4 linked regions of the Sus scrofa genome follow. The protein of the gene in region 2 purifies or fractionates together with the protein of the main gene of each other region. This does not show direct contact. Links are inferred from orthologs where the notes say so. Each region holds a gene or a part of one and is shown on either strand. Other genes may lie near its edges.

What was found. The genes of interacting proteins can lie anywhere in the genome.
Region 1: the proteins of MED20 (region 2) and CDK8 purify together in Homo sapiens (affinity purification with mass spectrometry; 8 studies listed by BioGRID and IntAct, counting the BioPlex papers as one, with this or other methods). This does not show direct contact. The link is inferred for Sus scrofa from reciprocal best matches to the Homo sapiens genes MED20 and CDK8.
Region 3: the proteins of MED20 (region 2) and CDK19 purify together in Homo sapiens (affinity purification with mass spectrometry; 5 studies listed by BioGRID and IntAct, counting the BioPlex papers as one, with this or other methods). This does not show direct contact. The link is inferred for Sus scrofa from reciprocal best matches to the Homo sapiens genes MED20 and CDK19.
Region 4: the proteins of MED20 (region 2) and MED9 purify together in Homo sapiens (affinity purification with mass spectrometry; 6 studies listed by BioGRID and IntAct, with this or other methods). This does not show direct contact. The link is inferred for Sus scrofa from reciprocal best matches to the Homo sapiens genes MED20 and MED9.

The regions. Positions count from the first base shown.
Region 1 is NC_010453.5:4,053,046-4,057,252, forward strand, and holds the start of CDK8 (cyclin-dependent kinase 8), read left to right. Parts: upstream 1-1,396; 5' UTR 1,397-1,496; coding exon 1,497-1,624; intron 1,625-4,207.
Region 2 is NC_010449.5:37,064,148-37,067,659, reverse strand, and holds part of MED20 (mediator of RNA polymerase II transcription subunit 20), read left to right. Parts: intron 1-942; coding exon 943-1,196; intron 1,197-3,188; coding exon 3,189-3,404; 3' UTR 3,405-3,512. UniProt on the Homo sapiens protein: Component of the Mediator complex, a coactivator involved in the regulated transcription of nearly all RNA polymerase II-dependent genes.
Region 3 is NC_010443.5:76,790,666-76,794,625, forward strand, and holds the start of CDK19 (cyclin-dependent kinase 19), read right to left. Parts: upstream 2,812-3,960; 5' UTR 2,496-2,811; coding exon 2,368-2,495; intron 1-2,367.
Region 4 is NC_010454.4:60,931,189-60,935,194, forward strand, and holds the start of MED9 (mediator of RNA polymerase II transcription subunit 9), read right to left. Parts: upstream 2,812-4,006; 5' UTR 2,711-2,811; coding exon 2,490-2,710; intron 1-2,489.

The DNA.
Region 1 (4,207 bases), on a different chromosome or scaffold from region 2:
CTGGTGGAAACCGTAGCAACTGGGAACAGTAAAATGGATAAAAATATAAAACGAAAAAACAGACGTCTAAATCAGAGAGAGAAAATGAGAGATGATTATCAAGCCTTCAGGACTCCTTCAGCCACAACTTTCCTACCTTAAACTTATTGACAAACGGTTTCCATGGATTTAGACCCACTGCTGTAATCTGGCTAAAAACCGCTGTTCTTGTAGGCAGTGGTGCAGAAGGCTGTCCTCAAAATAATGTCACCTCTGAAAGGATGGGACGCATTTGGACGGTCATCTGTCACCAGAGCGACACTCTTTGGGAGCGGCGTGGCCACTCCTTCTTGACTCACTTTTACTGCTGTCTGCAATGTGTGTCAGCACGTCGCTCATTGTGCAGCCCGTAGGAGACTGGGAACGACGAGCACACATTTAAGTGACAGCCGGTGAGCTGTGGACCAATACCCAAGAGTTTTTTCGATAATGATCATGCCCTTTAAACTCTAGAGTTCGGAAGTGGGATACAGCGTGATTCTAATACAGACTAGCCTTCCTCACACTGGAATTTCCTTGGTTAATTCCCCACCCCCCAAATCAGACTCTGGCTCAGAGTCTGATTTTTCCGTCGCTGTAAAAAAATTTTTTTCTCCCCAAGTGGCTGCAACGACTCCCCTCCCTTGGACTACTAATCCCATCATGCAACGCTCCGACATCGCCACTGTGGGGGGGGGGGGTGGAGCCGCAGGAGCGGCGGCCACGGCGGCGGCCGGTGCATTCTGGGCCCTGTAGTCTGGCGCTCCGGCCACCGCCGGGACGGCCCACGTTGTGCGTGGGGCAGCAGCTCCGGGCAGCGGTTACCGCGCCTGGGCCGCGCGGCCCCCGGGGAGCGGTCTCCGGCTGGGGCTGCGGGCCGGCCGGCGCGGGGCGCGCTGCGCGGGGCGCCGAGCCGCCCGAGGCTTCGCGACGTTTTGCGACAGCGCGGCCGTGTTCCGCGAGTCCCCTCCCTCCGCTCGCTGAGGAGGTACCGGCTGTTGTGCGGCGCTGCCTTTCTGTTTGAGTGTATGGGAGAGCGAGCGGGCTAGTGAGTGAGTGCGAGCGTGTGTGAGCGCGGCGAGGCGCGAGCGCAAGCGCCAGAGGGGAGCCCGCCGCGCCGCCCCGCCGCTCCCCGCCGCGGGGGCAGAGCGCGCGGCCGGAGCCAGGGGCCGGCGCCCCGGGAGCCCGCGGGGACAAGGGCAGCGACAGCGCTCCCCACCCCCAGCCTCGTCGCTCGCTCTCTGCGCCGGGGACCTCGCCGTCCCCCCCCGGCCGGCCCCTGCCCGCCGCCCCCCTGGATGTCCCCGGCGCCCTCGCGGGGCCGCCTCCTGCTCCTGCCGCCGCGGTCGGGCCGGCGCTGCGGCCGCCGGGCGTAGCGCGGGCGGGTTCCCGGGGGCCGCGGCTGCCGGAGCTTCGCCGGTCCCCACCCCTGCCCCCCGGCGCCCCGGCCCCGCTCCCCGGCCTCGCAGGCTGTGACAATGGACTATGACTTTAAAGTGAAGCTGAGCAGCGAGCGGGAGCGGGTCGAGGACCTGTTTGAATACGAGGGCTGCAAAGTTGGCCGAGGCACTTACGGGCACGTCTACAAAGCCAAGAGGAAGGATGGGTGAGTGTCCGCGTCGCGCCGGCGGCGGCGCCGGGGCAGGTGGTCAGCCTCCTGCCGGCCGGGCTCGGGAGGAAGTGGACCGCGGGGGACCCTGCGCGCTGCTGCCCTGGGCTCTCCTGGCGCGGCTGCTCGGGAAGAGCAGCGTCTACTCCCCGGGCCGTGTACTTTGCAGGGCTTTCGGCCCGGGGTTTCCTTACATTTTCCTCGGATGTGTCAGTTTAAGTGATCTTTAGGGGGCTCGGTCTATCATGGTAACCTTCCGGGGCTTTGCTCATCCGCCTCTGGAGTGACATCCAGCCGTCTGGATGGGAAGCTGGGATCCTCTCCCCCACCAGCTTGTGACTGATTTACGATCTCATTTGGATTTTATTGGGGTGGGGGAAGAGAAGGCAAAGCAGCAAGTCGGTGTGGTTCTCCAGAGTTCCTTCTCCTGATCACCTGCCCCAGAAATGTGGCAGTTGCGATTTAGATACCGTGAGCTGTGAGTTTTACGTAGAACAATGGGGGTTTGGTGCCGGGTGGGTGGTGGGGAAAAAGGCGAGTGATGAGGGGTATCTCGTTCAGGCCGTTCCCCCCCACCCAATTGAGCAGTTGGCAGTGAACTTTCTCTTTGCTTTAAATATTCTTCCCTAGAAATAACTTAAGTCTATGACTGGTAATGCTCCCAATTTAGTTTCCTAAACAGGCAAGTGAAATGTTCATTTTTCCTTTGTCAGTCGATGGATGTCTTGTAATATTGACAAAAGAGAAGGCATTTCTTAGTTGAGAAAATATATTTTTTAAACTCCTTGTTTTCCTCTTGTAAAAACGAATGTTGTCTTTATTGCCTTGGACATTATAGAAAATTGCTGGAAAGATAATGTCCAAGCTTATTACATGATCTTTAGATTTTATTATAAACAAAGTGATTTTATTTGCGCTTCACTGGTGTTTTGATTAGCTGCTGTTCAACGTTTAAAATAATTGCTTTCCCCCCAAATTAGATAGGAAGGTATGTTCAGAACTACATTAGCGCTAAAAAAATGACACCATTCCTAAAGCTGAAGTTACCTGAGATGAGAGGGAGGCCATATTTATAAATACTTGGTATCCTGAATATGGGAAAAGGAAGTATATATTTATTCAACTTTTTCCTTAGATTTCCTGAGATATCTTTCTAAAATAACTTAGAATGGACTCTAACAGGAAGAAGACAGTAGTTCTCATTTATTTGGATTGTGCAGTTCAGGGCTTCAGTGCAGCAGGAAAGCAGTACCGGTATCTGCCAAAGGTAGGGATTGGAAAACTTGATACTTGGGGTGCCTCGTGTATTTAAAAGTACTTTTTAGCAGAAGGATAGTCTGGTGACATTTGAGAAATCAGTGTCTGGAGATAGTGTTGACTGTGTAGTTTAATTATATTCCTCATTGAAATATTACTCTCTAGTAGCATACCTGTTTTAAAAATTATCCTTATTAACTTCTCATATAAGATTTTTCAGAAGTCTTAAGGCATCTCCCTGTCCCCCCCAATATTATGTAATTTGGGACGTATAAAATCCGTGATCCCGTGAGCTTAGACATTGTAGTATATTTGACCCATCTGTCATCTGTATTATGAAATTCTGGTGACTTTAAATTTTTTTGATCTGAGAAAAGCTAGTTCTGTTTTCATAAATGACCAGTTTAAGCTAATAAGACATGTAAATTATATTGACTTTGATTTTATATTAAAAAACTATAATACTGTTTACTGGCAAGAGGTACTTTTGACCACATTTTATATCTCATGGTCAAGTTTTAATGTAGGCCGAGAATAATTTTAGAATTATACAATTTTAAAACAGCTGGATGTATAGTATATGAACATTTCTTAGTCATTCATGATAGGCAAAAAATAGCATTGCATTTTGGAAAAATTAACTTTTTGTTTATAATTCTTTGGGCTTGTTTTCCAGCAGCCTTTAATGATTTTGTTTATAGGAAGAACTTCTTTTTTTTTTTAATGGATCAAATGTCAAGAGAGTTTTAAAATTACTTAAAATGGTGTTTGTGTTCCAGAGGGAATATTTTTTGGTTTGGCTTCTTATAACCTCACTCTGGTAAAACGCAGCATTGTATTTATGAGGTTCTTTTGATCTTATGTCAGTGAAATGTAATTTAATGCATTTTAGTCCTGGTAAAATAAAATTTGTGGCTGTTTAATCTTTCATAAAAAGATGATTAAATAATTTGTTTCAAGTATTGATTTACTTTCAAATGAAATCATATGTTCTGCAACTGAAATTTCAGAGAGCTCTAGGAACCCAGACAGTAACACCTTCAAAAAGACTGAGATTTACAGTAAAATGAAGTAAATTTTGTTTAGAGGTGTTTGGCTGTTAAAATGAATGTATGTAAACGTATTCCTTCACTTGTCCAGCGAGCATCACAGGCATGAGTAATTAGTAAAGGAATTTAGACCAGAGCAGTTGGCTTCTTAAACTGCGGTTTTAGGAAGAAATAAAACAGCTCGAAAGGTCATTCCTTTGATATTAAGAATTCGAAATACCCTACTGCTGTCCTCTGCTTTTGATAAACCTGGCGTTTTAAGGAATGTGGGGGA
Region 2 (3,512 bases):
AGAAGTCATTTCTCAGAGACTAGAACAGGCAAGCTGGGATTTGAAACTGGATCTTCTGATTCTAGATCCTGAGTTCTTTCTGCTGTAGTTGTGCTGCTGGCTTCCATAGTCAGCTCATAGGTGGCTTACTCTTCTCTGAGGGCTCACCATTGCCTTTGGGATGAAGACTGACTTGGGCAGGAAGGCAAGGCTCTGGCCTCATGCTCAGATGCTCCCCTTTGCTGCTGCTTTGGGGCCACTTCCTGTGTTTTAAAGAGGGAGGAGGCCAAGGAAAGTTAGGGATAGATGGGAACGAGAGTAGCTGCTTTGTTTGGTATGCTCAAATGCTGTTACTTTTATTTTCCTTATTATGTGATATATGACTACACAAAAGTCCATATGTAAAATCTCTGTGAGTTATTAGTCATCAGTAATCATTCATTTGTGAGCCCATCACCAAGAATTAAATTGTGATCTGGAGTTCCTGATGTGGCCAAGGGGGTTAAGCACCCGAACAGTCTCTGTGAGGATGCAGGTTTGATTCCTGACCTTGCTCAGTGGGTTAAGGGTTTGGTGTTGCTGCAAGTTGTGGTGTAGGTCTCAGACGCTTCAGAGTCTGCATGGCTGTGGCTCTGGTGTAGGCTGGCAGCTGCAGCTCTGATTTGACCCTTCGCCTGGGAATGTTCGTTTAAAAAGAAAAAAATGAAGCTGTTAATTAACTCTGTTGAAGTTCCGTGTGTGCCCTTCACCTTTCTCGGGGGGAGGAGGGTTAGGGTGATTTCCACCTGCCCCCTCACCTGCTGGTTCTCTCACTTCCTCTGGAAAAGGCTGTTGGGGCGGGGCTTCCACCCCGGGACTGCTGAGGTGATGCTGGCTTGCCCCTTGGCCTCATTCCAGCATCAGACACTCTTCCCCGTCTGCAGGCGAAGCTCTTGACACTGCCCTGCTCTCCATCCCTTGCAGGTCAGGCGGGGAAGCTGATGTATGTGATGCACAATTCTGAGCACCCTTTGAGCTGCTTCGCCCTCTTTGAGAACGGCCCCTGCCTGATCGCCGACACCAACTTTGATGTGCTTATGGTAAAACTCAAGGGCTTTTTCCAGAGCGCCAAAGCCAGCAAGATTGAGACCCGGGGCACCCGTTACCAGTACTGTGATTTCCTCGTGAAGGTGGGCACGGTCACGATGGGGCCCAGTGCCCGGGGCATCTCTGTGGAGGTAAGACCTCGGTGAACTAGGAGCAGGGGTGCCGAGAGGACTGGCTCTGCCAATTTTCAGGGGCCCTGAGTACAGCCTGAGGTTCCTGCCTCCCTGGTTCCTGCCCGCAGAGCAGGAGCTGCTCCCTGCTCTCCCTGCATCTTCTACCTGTTCTTTAATCACTCGGGGACTTTCTAGCCCAGGATGGCAATGGGAAGCTCAGTCCTCAGCGGGTAGGAAGCTTAGGAAGGCCAGCTTGCTGCAGGGGGAGGGATGGTCGGGGGCAGGTGAATCATGGAAGAGCAGTCACCCAGCACCAGAAGGACTGGAGCAGACCAGGGCGGCTTTCCGTGCAGTCCACTCTGGGAGGCAGGCCCTGAATCATGTGTCCACACACCTCCCCTCAGCATGCCTTAAGATGGTCTCCAGAGTTCCAAAGCAAGAATGAGCCTTTCCTTTTGCCACACTGTCCACTTCCTTTCTCAGTGGAAAGGGGTGTGTGTAGTGACTTCATCTTTGCGGCATATATTGAAAATGGCAAAGAGAGAGTGTGGCAGCAGCTGGCTTTGGGAACAGTGAGAGCTTGCCATCTACCATGGTCCTAGCACTGTGTGAGGTAGGAAATTAAGTAAGCGACAGAGCCTGCCTTTTGGAAATTTATGACTTATCTGATAGCACTTAGATCTGGAATCTAATATACAGCACAAATGAACCTTTCTACAGAAAAGAAAATCATGGACTTGGAGAACAGACTTGTGGTTGCCAAGGGGTAGGCCGAGGGAGTGGGATGGACTGGGAATCTGGGGTTAATAGATACAAACTGTTGTCTTTGGAATGGATAAGCAATGAGATCCTGCTGTATAGCCCTGGGAACTATATCTGGTAGCTTATGATGGAGCATGATAATATGAGAAAAAAGGATATATGTACGTATGTGTGACTGGGTCACCTTGCTGTACAGTAGAAAATTGACAGAACACTGTAAACCAACTATAATGGAAAACAATAAAAATCTTTAAATAAAAAAAATTTTTTTAATGAAAGTTTATAATTTAGTAAGAGCAAAGTCCAAACACTCAAACTGATTTGGAAGTTCATCTATAAGAAGTGCTGTAAAAGAGACACAGGCTGCCCTGGGAATTCTGGCCAAAGAGAGGGCTAACGACTTTGGGGATTGGGGCGCCTCTTGCAGAAGGAGCACCTAAGTGGGGGCCTTAAAATGTGGAGATACAGGGATAGGAAAATCCTAAAAAGCGTCCCAGGTGGAGCAAAGGGCATGAGTGGTGATCATTGGGTGATACTCCAGGACCTCTAGGGCCAAGATTTCCTGACCGTTTTCATTTGCAACTCACCCTGCATTTGTCAGGACCCGCTGGGAGCCTGCTCTTTCTCTTCCACGTTCCCAACTTCGTAGTACAAACACATCCCAGCTGTTTCTTTACTTATTTCTTCTTACGGTGACCATAATTTCCCCTGCCATCTCTCCAGTGAACAATTAGGAGAGAAGGAGAAAGCCTTTGGCCCCTATCCCGTGGCTTGGGAGACCATTTCTTTGGGTCAGAGCCCAGGCTGGCTGTACCCTGGAGTAATATTTGGTCTTGAAGTGGCTTATGAGTGTATGTGTCTACTTTGCCCCCAGTATGCATACGTGCTCTTTCCCCTGAATTTGGTTTTCTCTCTCAGAATTTTCCTGAGCTCTCCATGAATCTTTATGCATCCTGGCCGGGGCTGTATAGTTCTGAGATAATTAAAAGGGGCCTAGATCTGCCCTTGGGTCTTGTGGGTAGGGCTGTGGGTTGGTAACCCCAAGCTGCAAATGTCTGAGCCTAAAGGGAATGGTGCTGGTGTGTCGAATCCCTGGGGGTTGGGTTGGCGGTTTCCTGCGGGGCAGCGCTGTGCAGGTGTGCGTCTTTGGCCCATAGTCTGAAAAGGTGGGAGCAGAGGCAAGAGCTGCCTGAGAAGCAGATGACCTGTCCCTGCTCTCCTCACCCTCCGTCTTTCTTCCGGCCCCAGGTGGAGTATGGCCCCTGTGTGGTAGCTAGCGACTGCTGGAGCCTGCTGCTTGAGTTCCTGCAGAGTTTTCTGGGCAGCCACACCCCAGGGGCTCCTGCAGTGTTTGGGAACAGACACGACGCAGTCTACAGCCCAGCAGACACCATGGTCCAGTACATGGAACTCTTCAACAAGATCCGCAAGCAGCAGCAGGTGCCGGTGGCGGGGATTCGATAGTGACTGGCCGCCTGGCTGAGCTCTGTCGCCAGGGGAACTCCACCAGAGGAGCAGGTGCTGCCCCCTCAGGCCCTGAGACCCCGGAAGCCCAGGGCAGACAGGGAGGTG
Region 3 (3,960 bases), on a different chromosome or scaffold from region 2:
TTACCATGCAAATGTGTATCACAATTTAGAGCCATCACTAAAAGATTTCTGTTCTTTCAAATCAATGGTATCAATGAACATAAAACTAATCCTGCTACCCACCCACAAGACATGTGGGTGTTTAAAGCCTCAAATCTCAACTAAACTCTTGGTTCAAGACAAAAATCTTTACACTGATTTTTCTCACACATAATTTAGTGATTTAAAGTAATGCTTTCAGGAAGGTCCCTTGTGGCACAGTGGGTTAAGGATTCCGTGTTACCAGATCCAGCTGTGGTGCAGGTTGAAACTGTGGCACAGGTTCCATCCCTGACCCAGGAATTTCCACATGCCAGGAGCACAGCCAAAAAAAAGTAATGCTTTCAGATTTGAAAAAGTCTTTTTAAAGCATAATATTTTGAAGATATCCAAACTGATCTTTACTAGGGCTTTATTAATTCTAATCAAACAAATTTCACTCAAGGAAAAAAAGTGTATTCAAATCAAGAATTTTATTAGAGGGGAAAATATTCAAAAAGAACAAAGAGAAGCAGGATTTAAATTATCTGATTTTTGTTGTAGCTCATGCTATTCAAATACAATTCATAAGTAGAATTTTTAACTTTTCTCAAAAGCTGCCTTAAAAAAAAGCTATTTTAACAACAAAATTAAAGTACATTTTTTTAAAATTCCAGGCCAAGTACATTACAAAGTTAGTGTGAGGAGGATGAAGAACACTTCTGATTTGTTTTACAGTGTCAACGTCCAAATAGTAAAGCTAGATGTGCTTTCCCCAAATGTATCTGATAAGATTCCCAGAGAGACACCAGTATAACAAGGAGAGTGGATATTCCAAAAACAAAATACAACTTAATTATAGTACTTCACATTCCAAGATACTCAAGCAGGGACATATGGCAATTAACTAAAAGAATCATGAGAAAGGTTTACAAACAACTGAATTCTAGGGGACCCGTTCAGTTATAACAAGAGGAAAAAATTATATGCAATAATAACAACCCTTTACAATGTTAAGTACTTTGCAGTTTTCACCATACTTTATGATAAACCAGTTTATAAAGTTGTGCTTTCTCGTTCCCTGTATAAAATTAGTGCACACACGTACACATCCCCTACCTACTTTGGTCCTAGAGTTCATCAATCAACCTTATCAATTACAACAGAGTGTGGAAGAACGATAAGCAGCACTTCAGATCTTAACTAACGTCACGGTGACGGATACTCTGTTCATTCAGCAATTTTTCGCTATGATCCTAAAACCTCTCTTCCACACTTTGATCGTCTTCAAACACTAAGTGGGACAGGCAGATGTTCCCCGGCTCCCTAACTCTGGGGAAGTGGAATTTCTGCCAGGATGGGCCCTGCGGTGATGACTTGTTTAAACCTACCCTTCTCAGGCAGGGAGCTGGTTCCACCTGTACTGGAGAGCCCTGTGCCCTCCTAAGAGAACAATCAGGACGGGCTTCCTATGATTTTCTTTCAAGTCCAAGGAAAACAAGGGTTCTGGCCCAACTCCGTGCCACTTGAATTCCGTTATGGGTAATCTAGGTGCCCAATAAACCGCAGCACGCAGCCACTTGGCAGAGGATGGAGTGGAGAACCTAAGAATACCCAAGGGGAGGCTGCTGGAGGATGGGATGGGTTACCACACCGAACTCTTAAGTTCTGCGGGCAAAACCTGGTTGGTCTCTCAGAAGGTCTACATTCAAGGGAAGGTGCGGAATGGAGAATGTGAGAAAGCAAGATCGGAGGTGGGCGAAGCGAGGTGGAGAAGTGGCCGGGTTTTCCACAGGGACTGAAGGGACTGCGCGGAGGGGCCAGAGCGCTGGCTCGCCCCCAGGGAAAAGGTGCCCAACGGCTCAGACCCGTGAGGCTGGCGAGGACCCAGGCACTCGGCAGCCCGACGGAGACCTCGGCGAGGTTTCAAACCTCCGCCCCCGGGAGGCGCTCAGCCGATTGGAAGTTCCACCACGACCGTCACCAACCGAGGGCCAGAGCGGCAACTCCTCCGCAAGGCTCTCCCAGACCTCTGCGTCTCCCCCGGAGACCAAAGCCCCACAAACTCCACATCCAACCGAGGTCCCAACTCGAGTCCCGCCGCCAGTTCCATGCACGCGGAGGGTGCCCTCCGGGACGAAACCGACACCCCGCGACGGGGCTGCGCCGCAGGAGTTTGAGGGGCGCGACGGGGCCCGCGCGAGCGGGCAGAACCCGTGTCCCTCAGAGTCCGCCTCGGGACGCGGCCCCGGGACCACGTCCGCCTCGCCCCCCGGGCTTGGCCCGTCCGGGCTCCGACCCACCCATCCCGCGCGGTCGCGGGCAGGGCGAGGACCCGAACGAGCCTACTCCCCCCGCCCCTGCTCTTACCCATCTTTTCGCCTCGCCTTGTAGACGTGCCCGTAGGTGCCGCGTCCCACTTTGCACCCTTCGTACTCAAACAAATCCTCCACCCGCTCCCGCTCCGCCGCCAGCTTCGCCTTGAAATCATAATCCATTGTCTGCTTTCCCCATAGAGGCACCGGGACGCGGGGGCCGCCGCCACTCAGTCCCTCCTCCTCCTCCTCCTCCCCCCCGCGACCGCCGCTCCACTTCTCCAACAACCGCCTCTGGGGCGCGCGCGCGCCGCCCGCCGCCCGGCAGTCCGCCTTCAGCAAGGGACTCCTCGGCGGCCACGGCGGCCACCTCCTCCACCTCCTCCTCCTCTGCGGCGGCGGCGGCGGCGGCGGCAGCGGCGGCGGCTGCGGCTCCTACAGGCACCCTCAGTCCCGCCTCCCCCTTCATTTCCTTGTTTTGGAACCTGGTGGGCCGCGCCGCGGCTTCCTCGAGCTCATTAACGAACCATCCCTCCCGCCCCCGAGGCCGCGGAGACTCCTGGGAAATGTAGTTCCATAAACCTCAGGAACAGTTGAGTGATGCGGTAGAATGAAATACAATACCCAGGTTACCTTGGGCCGCTACAGCCCCGCCTCTACAAGACATGCACGCTTGCGCACTGAGGCCGCCCCTCCCCCCTCAGGTAGCTTTGGACTGCTAGTTCCTGTGAAGGTAGAAAGTGCAAACTTGCAGTGTGCTTTCTGCGAGTCTGTGGAAGCTGGTGGAAAGAAGGTCCTTTTTCTGGTGTAAGGAAGGTACTCTATTATAACTGCCCCCAGGAGAGGAGGAGAGTGGAAAGTATTTAACAAGGGCTTTGCCCACGAGTTTCCTCCAGTGGTTTGCTAGACGAGGACTGTGGTGAGAGCAGTTGTACTGCAGATTGTTGTTTGTTTTTGGTGGCAGTTGGTCCGCCTCCCGCCCCGTCCCGCATCCAACAGCTCATTGGCGGAGACTTAAGAATGACGTCCTCGTTGGTGCGTGGGTATCCCTGCTTTGGCTTCTTTCCGGCTCTTGATTGGTAATTGGATGTGCTAGGTTCTTTCTGATAGGTTAATCTTTTTTCTTTGCGGTGCAAAAACCGTATTTCAAAAACTGAACTTTTAGCGGTTTCCTGGTTCTACCGTCGGCGTCGGCCTGAAAACCTGTAACTTAAAGGTCCTAGCAGCCAATCATCCTTGGCGCTCTAGTCGTAGTCTTCTCCTAACATAAGTGATTCCCGTAGCCAAGCTTTTGGCCAACTGTCTGAGGACTATTAAAGTGCCTGCAGGATGCAGCAATTTAAAAACAATCATTTGTATTGGATTGTAAAGAGTGTCTTAAGGTTTATGCCTAACAGTGACGTTTTCCTAGAATGTTTAAATCTCCTTAAGGTGAATGTTGGTTCATTATTGCGTGCCTAAAACGTATCAGATGCTTGGGATACAATCTTAAAAATCATTGGTGCTATGATAGGACTTAACATACCACATTCAGTGAAAGCACAAGAGGAGGAAATAGTCAATTCTACCTAATGTGGTAAGGAAAGTTAAGAGTGACTTGCCTGCTAGGTTTTGGAAGAAACTTGGAAAACTGGATGGGGAGGGGGTT
Region 4 (4,006 bases), on a different chromosome or scaffold from region 2:
CAGACGAACGGCGAGAGAAGATACAATTACTTTATGCTCCATTAGTAAAAAGCAGGCCATAAATAAATACTGGGGAACATATATTTTTTTTAAGTGAAAAGGCTGAGCGGACACTGCGTGAGTGATGTACCGCCTTCTCAGGATGAACCAGCTTCTTTCCTGGGGAGCCCCCACGTCTCTGGGGTGTCAGGTCAGACAGCCTGTCAATCTAGAAGCCGGGGCTGGGTCTCGGGTCTGTCTGAGGACTTGCTCTCAAGCGCTCTTCTTAGGTTGGCCTCTCCCTCCAGCTCCCGAAATGGGCAAGTGTCCCCCCTCCAGAGACCCTGTGCATTATTCTTTCCTAAAAACAAACCTTGGGAAAGTGTGAGCCTTTAATTATCCACCGAGACAGAAGGGGGACCACCTGTGGGCCTGGGGTCTCGAGAGGACTCAGGGGATCCGCTCCTAAACAGCCGTCCAAGCAGCCCTCCCATCCTCAGTCCCGTCACCCTCAATCACCTCTCACCGGAGGCCCTTGGCCCTGCCGCCTCCTGAGATCCGGAAGGGGCCGCGGCCAGAGGCAGCTGCTCCCGGCCGCTTCCTCGGGCTGGGAGGTGGACTAGCCCCCGGCCCCCCCCTACGGCAATCATCCCCTCTCGTGTCCTTTTCAGTTTTACGCTTAAAAGACACTCCTCACTGTCCACTCAGAGGGGACAGAGCAGGTCACACACGGGACGGACACAATGTCTTTCACAGAATGTTCTTGAGAACACCCCACAACAACCTTACGATTTCGGTGTTATTGCTCCCGGTTCACGAGAGAAAAAGATTCAGAGAGGCCGTTTGACCGAGGCCGCCCCACCAGCACACTACAAAGCTACCTCGGAAGCCCTCCTCTGAGGTTCATTGCTATTATTCACCTCTTAGCGACACGAAAAATTACGGCCTAGAAAGGCTCTGTATTTACCAAGATTACAAGGCAAGCAAGCATTAAGACTATCTCATCTCGGAGTTCCCACCGTGGCACAGCGGAAACGAATCCGACGAGAAACCCACTGGCCTCGCTCAGTGGGTTAAGGATCTGTGCCGTGAGCTGCGGTGTAGGTTACAGATGCGGCGCAGATCCTGAGTTGCTGTGGCTGTGGTGTAGGCCGGCGGCTGTAACTCCGATTGGACACCTAGCCTGGGAACCTCCATATGCCACGGGTGTGGCCCTAAAAAGAAAAAAAAAAAAGAGAGAGAGACCATCTCACCTCGCAGCCCATGCTCTCTCTAGTGCACCTCAAGGATCCGTCTTTAAGGCCAGCCCAACCCGAGGGTCCTATCAGGATGCCAGAGTGTGTACACTGTGTGTTTTAATTTTCCAAAAACCAGAACAGATAAATCTGGGTTCATCTGGACAACGCCCTTCCAACCCAGCACCGCCCTGGGACTGCAGGGCGTGCAGGTGGGTTGGGTTTCCTATGTCACTGCTGCCTACGAGTGCTACTTGCTGATCACAGGCTCACGAGAAGAGTCGGCCTCACCAGATAAACAGTATGTTCACACCAAACGAAGCCAAGTTCTAATGTGAGAAAAAAAAAGGCTTTGCAGTTGTCTGAAAAGTGGTGGAAGCGTCAGAGCGTCCCAGGCAGTGACTCTCTTCCACCTAAACTCAAAACAAGCTGGGCCACTGACAACACTTCACTGTTGTGAGCGGCAATTTCATTTCAGCAAAACATCCAAGAGGATGCTGAGGTCCACCTGAGTGTTAGAGCAGAAGGAACATTGTTTTAATTTGCTTTGTTTTGGGTTTTAATGGCTAAACAGACGTGATAAGCTGAGGGGTTTACACCTTGTTACCATGGGGACATAAATAACAGTAAAAACCATTTGGGCAAATGTGGGGACCCTGGCGATTTTGGTGGGGTTTTCCCCCCTCTTTAAGGGTCAGTCTGAAAAACCGGGTCCCCTGAAGACCGGCCTAAAGGAGACATCACCCCTGCGGCATCCTGTTGGGAACTGTGAGTGCGACGGGCTGTCTAGCGGCCATTCCCTGCCATGGCCTTATCATCACCCCTAGAATCTCTTCGCGTTATGGGTTATTCCCGTTCACGACTCTGTTCCTTCTAACTGGTGAGCAACGTGGGCGTGAACCGTATGCCCTTTCAAGTGTACATCCCCTGGCGCTTAGCAGTGTGCCACCCGCGAAACATGACCCACATCTGCTGGAAAAGACACCGAAGCGAGCGTTCTGTCCTTCATTACGTGTGAGAAAACAGCCCCGAGAAGCCTGGCTGGCTCCGGCCACAGGGACGCTGCACCTGTGCACGTGGTGTCCAGGTCGGCTTCGTTTCGAGGACTCCGCCCGGCCAGCACGGGGCCTGGCAGCCCTGAGCTCAGCGTCCGCTCAACTCGGGGGGAGGCTCGCGGTGGTCTTCGCGAGGCCGCCTCCCCGGGACCGGCGGCGCCCCGGAGCTCGGCCCGCGACGGACAGCGGGGGCGCACTCGCGGGCACCCCGGGCTCTTACCACTTGATGACGTTGTGAACCAGCGGGAGGAAGGAGCAGTTCTCCTCCGCCTTCACGACGGCCGGGGACGGAGGCCTCGGCGCGGGCTGCGGCTGCGGCGCGGAGACCGGCGTCGGCAGCTGCGGCGTCGGCAGCGGTTTCGTTTCGGGCATCGGCGGCTCGGTTGGCGGCGGCAGGGCATCCTCGGCCTGCCGGCCGGCGGGCACCCCCACTGAAGCCATGGCGCCCCGCGTTTCCGCGGCGGGTCGGCTGGGCCGCGGCTCAGCGCGCCGAACGCGTCGCGGACTCTGCACGTCACCACCGTGCGCCGCGGGGCGGGACCCAGAGGGAGGCTGGGAGCGCGCGCCCGGGGACGCGGGGCGGGGCCTGGGCGTCCGTTACTAGGCAACGGGCGGCCGGCCGGGCTAGGGTGCCCTGCTTTGGGTTGTGCGTTGAGGCAGCTAAATTGTTAATAGAAATAGATATATGTCAGAAATAACATTTTATTCCTATTCGCGTTACAAAGAGGATCCAAAATCAACAAGTGCGGAAGACTTGAGATAAATAAGGCCTCTTGAAGAGCGGAGGCCCCTGCCCAGCACCTGCTGGGGTCAGGCCCTGGGCCAGCGGGCGTGGAGAGAATCCCGGCGGAGGGACCCACGGTTCCCACCCGCGCAGAGGCCTTCAGGGGAGAGGCCCTGCGCCCGCCCTAAGGACGCAGGAACAAAGAAGCTGCGACGAACTAAGTCAATACTTAATATGCATCTTCTCCATGACTGCTGTACTGCCTGCGGGGAGGGGTGGGAGTTGTCCCAACTTCCACACGAGGCTGAAGGGGGTTAGTGCCAGGAATAAACATGTCCTAGGAGAAGTCAGCGGCACGTACTCTCCTCACCTGTGGGCCCCAGCTCCTTAAGCCTCCAGGGCTCAGCGTCCTCACCCCAAAAGCCTTATATAGTTCAGGAGCCTAAACTGCTTCCCACCTTCCCACACGTGGCCGGCCTCCAAGCTCGCGTTTGCAGGGGCACTCACTCCCTGGGATCTCAGGCCAAAGCCAGGGGAACTCTGGTGGGTTTGTGGTTATGCTCCTCAAGACAAGTCCTCCCTGGCTGTGTAATAAATTCCTGGGCGATGAGAACACACGTTCTGAGCTTCGCTGGTGAGTGGAAGCCCTGCCCTTCCTCAGAGCTTTAGAGACACAAGGAGACTGCAGTCAGGTGCCAAGATGAGAAGCAGCATTGAAGAGCAAGGCGGCCGTCCTAAGGAAAACGTCACTGCAAATATTTCTAGATGCATCCAGAGGGGTCTGTGAAGGCAAGTCCTGGGGAGGCTTGGAGTGGGTGCTTTGGGCCTCAACACTGCTTTCTTGTAAGAACTACCCAGAGAACCCCTGAGGGAGCGCATGGAGGGGGAGGTGAGGACTGCTGCCCAGGGGCCTCTCCGCCCAAAGGAAGTGCCAGGGTCCTGGTGGAGAACCGGAAGGAGGACCAGAGGCACTGAAGGGGCTTCCGTGCCTGGAGTCCTCTGGGGAGGTACGG